3 linked regions of the Mus musculus genome follow. The protein of the gene in region 1 purifies or fractionates together with the protein of each later gene. This does not show direct contact. Links are inferred from orthologs where the notes say so. Each region holds a gene or a part of one and is shown in the gene's direction. Other genes may lie near its edges.

The links.
Region 2: the proteins of Map1s (region 1) and Rassf1 purify together in Homo sapiens (affinity purification with mass spectrometry; 4 studies listed by BioGRID and IntAct, counting the BioPlex papers as one, with this or other methods). This does not show direct contact. The link is inferred for Mus musculus from reciprocal best matches to the Homo sapiens genes MAP1S and RASSF1.
Region 3: the proteins of Map1s (region 1) and Stk3 purify together in Homo sapiens (affinity purification with mass spectrometry; 3 studies listed by BioGRID and IntAct, with this or other methods). This does not show direct contact. The link is inferred for Mus musculus from reciprocal best matches to the Homo sapiens genes MAP1S and STK3.

Annotation. Positions count from the first base shown.
Region 1 is NC_000074.6:70,908,911-70,912,556, forward strand, and holds part of Map1s (microtubule-associated protein 1S), read left to right. Parts: intron 1-2,034; coding exon 2,035-2,139; intron 2,140-2,459; exon of another isoform or gene 2,460-2,616; intron 2,617-2,935; coding exon 2,936-3,018; exon of another isoform or gene 3,019-3,290; coding exon of another isoform or gene 3,291-3,356; intron 3,357-3,602; coding exon 3,603-3,646. UniProt on the Homo sapiens protein: Microtubule-associated protein that mediates aggregation of mitochondria resulting in cell death and genomic destruction (MAGD). Plays a role in anchoring the microtubule organizing center to the centrosomes. Binds to DNA. Plays a role in apoptosis.
Region 2 is NC_000075.6:107,554,511-107,558,156, forward strand, and holds part of Rassf1 (ras association domain-containing protein 1), read left to right. Parts: intron 1-72; exon of another isoform or gene 73-268; coding exon of another isoform or gene 269-415; intron 416-2,942; coding exon 2,943-3,047; intron 3,048-3,259; coding exon 3,260-3,557; intron 3,558-3,646. UniProt on the Homo sapiens protein: Potential tumor suppressor. Required for death receptor-dependent apoptosis. Mediates activation of STK3/MST2 and STK4/MST1 during Fas-induced apoptosis by preventing their dephosphorylation.
Region 3 is NC_000081.6:35,152,869-35,157,119, reverse strand, and holds the start of Stk3 (serine/threonine-protein kinase 3), read left to right. Parts: upstream 1-1,313; 5' UTR 1,314-1,567; coding exon 1,568-1,593; intron 1,594-4,251. UniProt on the Homo sapiens protein: Stress-activated, pro-apoptotic kinase which, following caspase-cleavage, enters the nucleus and induces chromatin condensation followed by internucleosomal DNA fragmentation.

The DNA of each region.
Region 1 (3,646 bases):
TGTGGTGGTTGTGAATTGAATTTTAGGACCTCTCACTCCAGTCAACTCTGTACCCTCAGTCCCTGCTCGCTCTGGCCCAAAGATTTATTTATTATTACATGTAAGTACATTGTAGCTGTCTTCAGACACACCAGAAGAGGGTGTCAGATCTCATTACAGGTGGTTGTGAGCCACCATGTGGTTGCTGGGATTTGAACTCAGGACATTCGCAAGAGCAATCAGTTTTCTTACTCGCTGATCCATTTCGCCAGCCTCCTCCCCCCCCTTTTTCTTTATTTTATTTTATTTTTTTTTGAGACGGTTTCTTTGTGTAGCCTTGGCCGTCCTCTGTCCTGGAACTCACTCTGTAGATCAGTCTGGTCTTGAACTTATAAATCCATCTGCCTCTGCCTTCCAAGTGCTGGGATTAAAGGCGTGCGCCACCACCGCCCATCGAGGAACTGTATTAAAGGCTCACAGCAAGCATTAGGAAGGTTGATAACCACTGGCTTAGAGTGATGCCTGACTTAGAGTCTGAAGGAGGGGGACGCAGTTAGAGACTCTGCACACTGGTGAAAGGTACATGGGGTCCTTCTCAGGTGGGAGTAGCCTAAGAGAGCCAGGTGTGCGATCTCAGCACTTTGGGAAGTTTGAGGCAAGAGGTCTGTTGTGCAAACCAGTTTGTGTTAGTGTGAGACTGATACCCCAAATTCAGTGACTAAGATGGCTGTGACTCTCATGAAAGCTCAACTTGGCAGTGTGTGCCTGTAATCCCACAGGAGATGTGGAGACAGGGTAACCCTGGGCGCTCACTGGGAGCCAGCCCACCCAGTTGATGACCTGAAGATTTACTAAGGAACTCTGTCCCTGAATGTAAGATCCAAAACAGTTGAGGAGGGCATTGAGTGTTGACCTTTGGCCTCCATGTGGTACACACACACAGTTCAATACATGTGCGTGCTCACACATAGAGATGCTGTTTGGAGCCTCTGGCAGGCCCCTGTAGGTGAATCACAGAAAAGACCTTTGGGATTTTGGAGCAAAGCTCTACAGACAACTATTCTCCCTTTGAAAAACAGCTCTTGGCCGGCTATTGGGCCTTAGTGGAAACTGAACGTTTGACAATAGGACACCAAGTTACTATGCGACCTGAACTACCCATCATGAGCTGGGTACTATCAGACCCTGCAAGTCATAAAGTGGGACGCGCGCAGCAGCAGTCTATTATCAAATGGAAGTGGTATATACGTGATCGGGCCAGAGCAGGTCCTGAAGGCACAAGCAAGTTACATGAAGAAGTTGCTCAAATGCCTATGGTTTCTACTCCTGTTACAATGCCATCTGCTGCCAAGCATACGCCTATAGCCTCATGGGGTGTTCCCTATGATCAACTGACCGAAGAGGAGAAGACTAGAGCCTGGTTTACTGATGGCTCTGCACGTTATGCAGGCACCACCCAGAAGTGGACAGCTGCAGCATTACAACCCCTTTCTGAGACAACCTTGAAAGACACAGGTGAAGGGAAATCTTCACAGTGGGCAGAACTTCGGGCAGTACACATGGTATTACAGTTTGTTTGTAAGAAGAAGTGGCCAGATGTACGATTATTCACTGACTCATGGGCTGTAGCCAATGGATTGGCTGGATGGTCAGGGACTTGGAAAGATCACAATTGGAAAATTGGTGAGAAAGACATCTGGGGAAGAAGTATGTGGATAGATCTCTCCAAATGGGCAAAGGATGTGAAGATATTTGTGTCCCATGTAAATGCTCACCAAAAGGTGACTTCAGCAGAGGAGGAGTACATAGGTGTGCACATGCATACATGTGCATACAGAAAAATCTCCCAAAAGTTGAGGATTCTAATAGAGCAGAGATGTGAAGCGGATGGCCAGACAGGGACTGGTCATCTTGTTGGTCAGGCCTCAAGTCAGAGATGCTGAGGCTTCCCTGAGCCCCTTGACTGTGCCTTCCCAGGAGCTAAGCCACGGGAGCCAAGCAGACAGAAGGGAGGGAGGGCGCTGGCACTCAGCTTTTGTCTCCTGCTGCCTGCAGGTGTTCGCTCCTGGGAGGATGTGGACCCCGCTGTCTGCAGCCTGGATGAGCAGCTCAAGGCCTTCGTGTCCCGGCATTCAGCCACCTTCTCCAGCATTGTGAAAGGTGACCTGCCCCACTCTGCCTCCCTTAGTTCTCCTGCTCCTCTCTGGGTGCTGAGCTGCTGAGTGGCAGCTGTATGCCGGGCGTGGGGTGAGGCAGTGCTAAGGCCTGCACAGAGGTACCTCTGGCCTGTGGATGCTGCCTTGGTTTTGGACAGTAGAAGAAAGTCATATGCTCTGTCCCTAACTTACAGAAGGGTGTAGTGACTTTAGGGAGGGGCCCTCAGGGCTGAGAACCAATAGGGAAGCAGAGATGGGGTGCAGGGCGATTTCCTTGGGATCCTGGGGTGGCCAGAGCAGCCCTTTCATGGGTATTGCTTGTAGCTCGTCCCTGCCCAGTGGGTTGAGTCACCACCTACAGCTGCAGGAGGGGAAGGAAGTGTCCCTTTGGGTCGTAGTGGCTTCCTGACCCCTGATCCATTGGAGAAAAAGCTGGAAGTGACCTACTGTGTGACCACAGCCCTCTGGACGCCCCTTCTGGGTAGTCACATTTCTCTGGCCTGGTCTTGCAGGGGAGGGCTGAAGCTGCTGTCTGCCATGTAGAGCCTCCTGTGTGTCCTCCTGGCTTAGGTGCTGAGCTGTGCTGGTGCTGATACGCAGTCTAGCACCCCTGGCTGATCATCTGTGTTGTCCCTGCTTGAGGCCCAGGGCACCCATGGGCTTCTTCCATTTTCTTTCCTGTTTGCTCTCAGCTGGGGCACCCTGCTGTGGGTTCTGCAGCTTCAGTACCTGAGGGTCCCCTGGTGGTAGGATTTGGGATTAGGCAGCCTGAGCCGGGGCCTGGGCTTGTCATCCCACAGGGCAGCGGAGCCTGCACCACCGTGGAGAGACCTTGGAGACGCTGGTCCTGCTGAACCCCTCAGACAAGTCCCTGTGTGATGAGGTAGGAGCAGGGCCCTGTGCTGTCCTCACTCCTGACCCAGCATATGTGCTTGACACTTCTGCACCTACTTCCTCTTGTAGACTTGGGGCAGGAAGGCTGGTCATGGAATGCACTGATGAGCTGGAGGCAGGTGGGAGGAACCCATGGAACCCAATGTCCTGGCTTAGCCTCTACCTGGCCCAGGCAGGAGCTGCCCTGGGTGGTAGGAGTCTTGCTTTTGGCCAGCCTGCACCTTCCTCCCAGTCTAAGACAGCTCTGGGACTCTCTGATGCATGTCACAAATTGATCTGGGAATGTTGTCACAGGCCTGTTGTCCCAGCAGGAGGAGGCAGAAGCAGGTAGGTGAGGGCTAGCCTGTGCCTAAAGAAAGATGGAGAAAGGGCTAGGTGGGTCTTCACAGGAGTCTCACGGTGAAGGAGCCCTGCTTGGCAGGCAGATGCCAGCTGGCCTCAGGGAAGGGGAGGGCTGTGGTAGGCACACCTGCTGGTTCTGCTTTCCTTCAGCCTCTCAGTTGCCTCTGACAATGAGTTCAAAGCTGGGGCCTGGTCCAGTGCCACTCACGGGGCTGCCCACCTTACCCACAGCTCCGGAACCTCCTGATGGACCCCGCCCCTCACAAGCTGCTGGT
Region 2 (3,646 bases), on another chromosome or scaffold:
CGGAGCCGAGTGGAGATGCCTCTGCGATGAGGTCATCCGTCGAGCTGTAGCGTCGTGGCCCCGCCCCTCGACGTCTTCACCCCCTCACCCCCCTCGACACCAGAGCTAAAGTCGGGCTGTCTACGTTTCAGTCCTAACGGTTGCCGCGCGGCGCTGGCCTCCGCGCAAGCGCGACCTGACACACTCACACGCACGCACGCACGCACGCGCCCGAGGCGGTGGTTAGAGGCTCTCCACGCAGTGGACTAGGGATCGGGCGGGTAAGGCGATGGGCGAGGCTGAAACACCTTCCTTCGAAATGACCTGGAGCAGCACAACCAGCAGTGGCTACTGCAGCCAGGAGGACTCGGACTCGGAGCTCGAGCAGTACTTCACGGCGCGTACCTCGCTGGTCCGCAGGCCGCGTCGGGACCAGGTGGGGAGCCCGGGGGGTGCCGCCGGCGGGTGAGGGGCGGTCGCTGGAACCCCGCCCCTCCCCGGTAAGTTGCGGCCTGGAAAGTTAGGTGATGGGCAGCCTCCCCGCCTCTCCATAGCGAGCCACTCGGAGGGTCCTGACAAAAGCGAGGAAGCGTACGTAGGGTTCTCTGTCCCGAGTAGAAGCCCAGTTCCAGCGCGATGGTACTGAGGACCCAGGCTACCCTGCCCTTGCAGTCACAGACCGGTTGAGCCAGGGGGAAGCAACTCTGAAGCTTGAAGGGTGGACCACAGGCGGGCGTTTTTCACCCATGACTAAAGCCAGACTCGCAATCCAAACCGGCGTCTTGATTTCGCATTTGGGCGCTCCCACTCCCTCCCTGGGGGAAATGAGGAAGTGGAGGAGGAGTCCACCGGGAAGTGAGAAGTTAGTTTGGGAGGGGACTCTGGCCGTGCCGTGATGCGGTCTTGGATCAGCCAGCAAAGTGCCCAGCCGTTGCTCGACCAACTCTTTGACACCAGCTGCTGGACTCGATCTTTCTTTCCTCCATGGTGGAACTGTGCAGAGGGATTTGGGGAATTCAGGAAGAGGGCCTTAAAAGACTATTAAAAAAAAAAAAGTGTGGTACCAGGGCAGCTGAACCTCTTTAAAAAGTCTAGATGTGCCCAAATTATCCGACTTTCTGGGAATATCATAGTTGTGGCCACCAAGCTCGGATAACTTGTTCTGGAGCGGGAATCCCTCGGAACAGCACAGAGGCCAGCGAATCAGGAAAGTGAGGACGGAGACTGAGGTTAGAAAACTTAGTAGCACTGAACTAGAACTCCTTATTTGAGCCAAGAAAGTGGAATTGTCTGTGATGCTGTAGGTGAGATTTGATATAAATTTCCTACAGGTGGACTGCTACTTGACACCTCCAAAACCTTAGTCCAGACTTTAGACTCAATGTGGGGTGGGAGTGGGGGCGGGAGGGTGTCTCTGGGATTGTCTCCATACCACTCAACCTGAGTCATCTTCTATTATGGAGAGGTGGGGGAAAATATAAGATACTGGCCAGTTGAAAGGCATACAAAGAGAAGAATTGTTTAAAAGCAGCTGAAGTTTATAGCTGACTTAGCTGTAGAGTGCTTAGCATTATATGTGTGATGGATGGCCTGACTTCCAACCATTAAGGAACCAAAAAATAAGAAAGAAGAAAAGGAAGCTAAGAAGTCCCAAAGAGCAGAGTAAAAGCCTGAGGGCTGGGGCTGGGCTGCAGGTTCAATCCCCAACCCAGACCCTCCTAGAATTCTCCTGGGACCAGGCACTGCCTAGCGGTGATCCCAGCTGTGTTTGTTCCAATTGCATTCCAATTTAGGGCCTTTCTGAAACCAACAGGAAGTAAGACTCACACTGGGAGTTGAGGACTGACTGCTCTTCCAGAGGTCCTGAGTTCAATTCCCAGGAACCACATGGTGGCTCACAACCATCTGTAATAGGATCTGATGCCCTCTTCTGATGCATCAGAAAACAGCTACAGTGTATTCACACATATATAAAATAAGTAAATAAATCTTAAAAAACAAAACCAAACCAGGAAGTAAGACTCAGGCAGTTAGGTCAAGTGAGTCCTGGCTGCCCTGAGCAGCAGGGTGACTCCACCCTCCCGCAGTTCCTGAAGAACCTTGTCTCTGGGCTAAGTCTTCAGACAGCGAGGGGGAAGAACAGCAGCCTCCCTGCTTGCTGCTGGTAGGACAGGCTCTGCTGGGAAATTGCCTGTACACCTCTGGCAGATGAGAACCTGGATTGAAGCTGCCTTCTATGTAGCTTGAGTCGGGGGGTAAATGGTATGTCCCAGTGTTACTTCACTATATAAGATGTGGTGTGGCTGGTCCCAAGAAACCCACTAAGGCATCTTACATTACAGAGATCAGCTTTCCTCTCCTGTCTACTGTAGTTAGACTGCTGGTGCACCAGCTCCCGTGCTGCCTACCCTCTCTCGGGTCATGTTCTGTGCTGCTGCACTGTGGGAGAGTGGGCTTTCTTCTCCAGAACAAACTGACCAAACTAGTGTTCTGGGTTCAGCTCTACAGTGGAGATGTGATTGTGTTGTGGTTTTAATTTTTGTATGTGGTGGGGGTGGAAATCAAAGGGCCTTGTACATTCTGGGAAATTACTCTATCACTGAGCTACATTTTATCCCCCAAAGTGTTTATACTTTAAACAAGATTTTTCCCTTACAGTCCTTCATGGTTTCCTGGCCCCTGGACATGTGCCTTCATTTATCTGTTTCTGTGATGTCGTTAGGGGCCACAACCAGTGCTGAGGTGGCCCCAGATAGCAGAAAGCCAAACGGATTCTACCTGTCCTTGCTCTCTCCATCTATAGCATGTAAAACCAGGAGCAATGATGGCTTCAGGATGTATGGGTTTGGTGACAGGACCAAAATCAAGTTCCAAGCCAGAAGGACCATCCCCATCCCCACCCCACCCACCAAAGAGCCTTGGCCTTTTCAAGGGCCCTGTATCTATGCTGGCCTGTCTTTCAGGATGAGGCTGTAGAGCGGGAGACACCCGATCTTTCTCAAGCTGAGACTGAGCAGAAAATCAAGGACTACAATGGCCAGATCAACAGCAACCTCTTCATGAGCCTGGTGAGTTGGCTGTTCAGGAATGTGGGAGAACAGAAGCCCAGCTCTGGGCCAGATGTCCAGAGAGTCAGAGCAAAGTATTCTGGGGTGTACCCAAGCAGCTATCTGTGCAGACCTGGCTTTACCCTGCCCCTGGACGACTCAACCTAACTCTTCCATCTCCAGTAGAACTTCCTGACATGGCATGGTTCTCCTTTTCCTTTCTTTCTTTTCAGAATAAGGATGGCTCCTACACAGGCTTCATCAAGGTTCAGCTGAAACTAGTGCGTCCTGTTTCAGTGCCTTCCAGCAAGAAACCACCTTCCTTACAGGACGCCCGGAGAGGTACGGGGCGGAGCACAGCCGTGAAGCGCCGCACCTCTTTTTACTTGCCTAAGGATGCTATTAAGCATCTGCATGTTCTATCACGAACACGGGCACGTGAGGTCATTGAGGCCCTGCTTCGAAAATTCATGGTCGTAGATGATCCTCGCAAGTTTGCACTCTTTGAGCGAACTGAACGGCATGGCCAAGGTAGGTTTCCAGTCTCAGCACTCCCTGTGTAAGGGTTATAGATCACATACCTGTGTATTAAGGGGCTGAGCCACCTGAGTCTGTCTTTA
Region 3 (4,251 bases), on another chromosome or scaffold:
GAGTTCAATTCCCAGCAACCACATGCGGCTCACAACCATTTGTAGTGGGATCTGATGCCGTCTTCTGGTATGTCTGAGGAAAATTACAGCATACTCATATATATAAAGGCTGGCATTACTGTGTGTGTGCATGATGAGGGTGTGGAAGTGTGTGCATGTGTGAGAGAGATGTGGCAAGGGTGTGTGTGTGTGTAAGCCAAGGACAACTTTGTAAAGTCTGTTCTCTCTTTACACTTGTAGACTCATCAGGATTGTGTGGCAAGTGCCTTTGCTTACAGAACCCCCTCATGGCCCAGTATTGACATTTTAATCACTTAGTTTTTGTTATTGTTCCTATTGTCCTGAGTAGATGAAATAGATATCAAGGTGTGTGTCTTATTTAGTTTCAGTTGATACTCATTTTGACTAATATTGACTTCATACACATGGCTCCAACCTCTAAGAAAACTTTGCCCAATTCGTTTTAAAGAATATTCTAGAAAAAAAAATAAGCAAACTCATTTGTATAGTTGTGAGAAGATGTGTGTGTGTATTTTATGGTTAAATAGTAGACAAATGAATGTGTAAGGGGTCAAGTTCAATGGGGGTTAGGGCTGTCGGGGTCGGGGACCCAAGAAAAAAAGAAAGATATTCCTTTAGTATCTTTTTCCAAGCACTATAACTAGTCATGGGCTTTCCATGTTACCCAACAGGGCATCCAGCAAGACTCTGGTGTTCTAAATTTGTGCACCAAGAGATCACTGCAGTAAATATTTTCTGTCATTGGACTGTAATTATTATGCTTGTATACAATCAAAATCAACCAGAATTTCCAGAAGTATCCCAACTACTATAGTTACAAATGCCAATTGGCTTGGGGGGCAGGGGAACGTAGCTAATAATAACTAATAATTATAAACAGGACAAGAGAGGGAAGTGAGGGCAGTTTTACTTCAAACAGATTTACAAGATGATTGGCATGTATTCTTGGGGAATCCTGAGAAATGAGTCAAATCTCTAGTGGACTAGCACCCCTCCACCAGCACAGTAGCTTTTGGGTTGCCAAAGTCTCACTCTGGTAGCAAGACATCTTCTTTCTGAGCTGGGCACTCCTTTTGGTGGCCTTTCTCCACTACTCTCACCAGCGCTTGGACCCGCCCACCCTTCCCGGGCTGCGCTCCGCCCACCCTCCCTAGCCCTGCTAAGGCCCGCCCGCCTTCCAGGGCGCATCCTGTTCACTATCCCTGGCTGAGCTAGGGCCCGCCCACTCTTCTGGACCGCGCTAGGTTCCGCCCACTTTCCCGGGACACGCTCCGCCCACCCTCCCTGTCCGCGCTCCGTCCCGCCCACCCTCGCTGCGCCGGCCTCTTCCCACCAGCTCGGAGCTGCAGGCCACGGCCGAGGGGCGGGGCGGGGCGGCCGGGAGGAACCGCGTTGAGGAGCGGGAGGGAGATCCGCCGCGGAGTTACGTGAAAGTTGGTTCGAGTTTCCCGGTGTGATCCCTTGCGTTCGGCCGGCTGCTCCCGGGCTCCTTTCCTCCCTACGGCCTTCACGGTCCATTCGGCCCTTCTTTCTGCCACCGGCCGCCATGGAGCAGCCGCCGGCGTCCAAGAGGTAACGACGGCGGGAGCGGGATGAGGACGGAAGCAGCGGCGCGGGGCGGGGGCTACTAGGCCCGGCCTGCCGCCGCGACCCTGTCCCCGCCTGCTCGGCGCTGAGCGCAGCCTGGTCCAGGCGCCCACCGTTCGGCTCCGTCCCTCTGCGAGGCCAGGGACCCAGAGGGGACGCCGAGTCTCCGTGCCGACGTCTTGAGGGCCTGGTGCGCCGCAAATTGAGTGGCCCTCGCTGGGTTCCCGGCCCTTCTGGTGGCTAGGAGGGTTTGAGTAGTAAATTCCAGAAACCTGGAGATAAGGACATCAATGCACGCTTCTCTTATTCTCTCTCTCTCTCTCTCTCTCTCTCTCTCTCACACTCTCTCTCTCTCTCTCTCTCTCTCTCTCTCTCTCGATCAAGTCTTCTTAATAATATAACCATTCACTTTGTGAAGACAGATCGCTTATTTACAGTTTAAGGAATTAAGTATATTAATAGCCACGCAGAATGTAAAACATTATGGATGTGCAGCAATGACAGGTGTTTCCCCCCTCCCCCCAAAGTTCTAAAGAATTTATGGATCCAAGATAGATGGAATGTTAACTTAGAACCTCTCCCCCATATAGTTTTGCACATAAAAACAGTGATACTTTGGTATGCTATATATTGTTTATGTTTAATCATGGACATATTGGATGCATCTGTGTACAATATGTTTGAACTAATCATTTCAATCATCTTAGGAAACTAAATGTCCATTGATAAACGTTCATAATGTCTTCTCCCTGTTCTCCATGAATGAATAAAATAATTGTTTGACGCTGGGTAAAACATTTAACCTCACTTTCATTTATAATTTACAAAACTGTCTAAGAGAGTGCTATAGTGAAGATTAAAGTCTTCATGTGCTCTAATATCTAGAGATATTTAGATGTAAGGTGTTAGACTCATGAGGTGGAATCGTTAAAAAGGTAGGCACTTTGAGAACCGTTGTGAATTGTGTGATTAGACATGTGAGCCTTGGTTTCTGGAAACCATCTGTTCAGATGCAAAAAAGGGGAGGATGTGGACAGTTTCCCAGAAGGGACAGGCTATCCTTCTGGGCCCTGGAAGCAAGTCAGTTGTTAGATTCTAGCATGTTATTGGTGTCTTTCCTCTGGTAGTCCCTGGATACTCGCCTTCCCCACAATAACAGAAGAAAACCTGAAACTTTTTTTTCTTTCTGTTTTGGAAGGGCAGTAAAGGGGAGATCTTTGAGACTATGGCATAGGCCAGCTGGAATGACTGAATTGAAATAAAAGATCTGTGCTGGTTGGCTGTACTGTAAATTATCAGTTTCATTATAGCTGTAAGAAAATGCCTGCACTTGACATTAGTGAACCTGGACAATCAGAAGTTGTGGGTGACAATTCCATCGTGACTTATACTTTACAAAGCCATGCTTGCACATAAAACTTTACATTTTAAATTTCCATTTCTTCAAAGACTCATTTTAATCTAGAAATGCAATTCTTTTAGTTCTTTTGTTTTTCCCCTCATATGTTGTGCAGTGTGGCTTGAGTGCCTGGGTTTAAGAGCTCCTTCTGCCTTTGACTCAGGAATAGTTGGGACTAGGATATAGTTCCTGTGCAGGAAGGGATTGTTTTTAAAATTCCATTTTGTTGATTTGGTATCCCTGCCCTCCACCTCATGTGTGTGTGTTTCTGTAAACCCAGGCCATGACGTGTGTGTAAGTCAGCACAGCTTACAGGAGTTGTTTCTCTCCTTTCACTGAGTTCTGGGGCTTAAACTCAGGTGATCTGGCTTGGTGGCCGGTGTCTTTATCTAGTGCGTTATCTTGGTGTCCCAACAAGAAGACATTTGCAATAAGCAAAAGATACAGACTGCTAATCTTTTATATCTTAGTATCTCAGTGTTTTATTTTATAGCATTTCCAAATTAATAGTGTTTATCCTCACAACAACTCTATGCAGTAGGTTGCATTAGAAAAAGATTATAAAATCTCATTTTATAGATGAAGAGACTAGGAATTCACCAAATTGAAGCTTGTGTGTTACTGACAGTGAGTTTCTGTGTAGCCTCTTTGACCTTTGTTGTCTATCATGAAGCATAACTACCATTTTTGAAATCTTATTGTTTGCTAGGAAGTTTACTCATTGTGACTTAATGTTGGGCTTTTGTTCTCAGAGCCTCATTAGGTATTTTGTTCTGCTGTTTAGAAGGCTCATGAACCCTCATCTGCATGGTCTATCTGAAACATTTTTATGTGATAAGATTGCTACATACCCTGCTTTGGGTATTCACTTTTGGAAATAATAATCCTGGCCCTACCACTTCCTATGCTAGTTCTAAATGTAAATGTCTTCACCTGTAAACTGTATCATGGGAATGAAATGGGCTCATGTGAAGTGCTTCACAGCATGTTCAGTTCAGCGTGGTAGCTTGTATTTTATTTATAAGTGAACTCAGAGCACCAGATGTGATGGGCTGCAAAAGTGGTATATTCCTTTATTATGTAGAGTGGTGCCGTTTATAATTCTATCACATAGTGGTCATTGTTTCTACACCTTCTGGATCCCTCTGCTCACCATTTCTAATCTCAGTAGGAATGCCGGGAGTATCACTGTCTTAGTATTTCAGAAGCATTTCCATGGCAGAGCTGGGCTGTTCTCGTCTGAG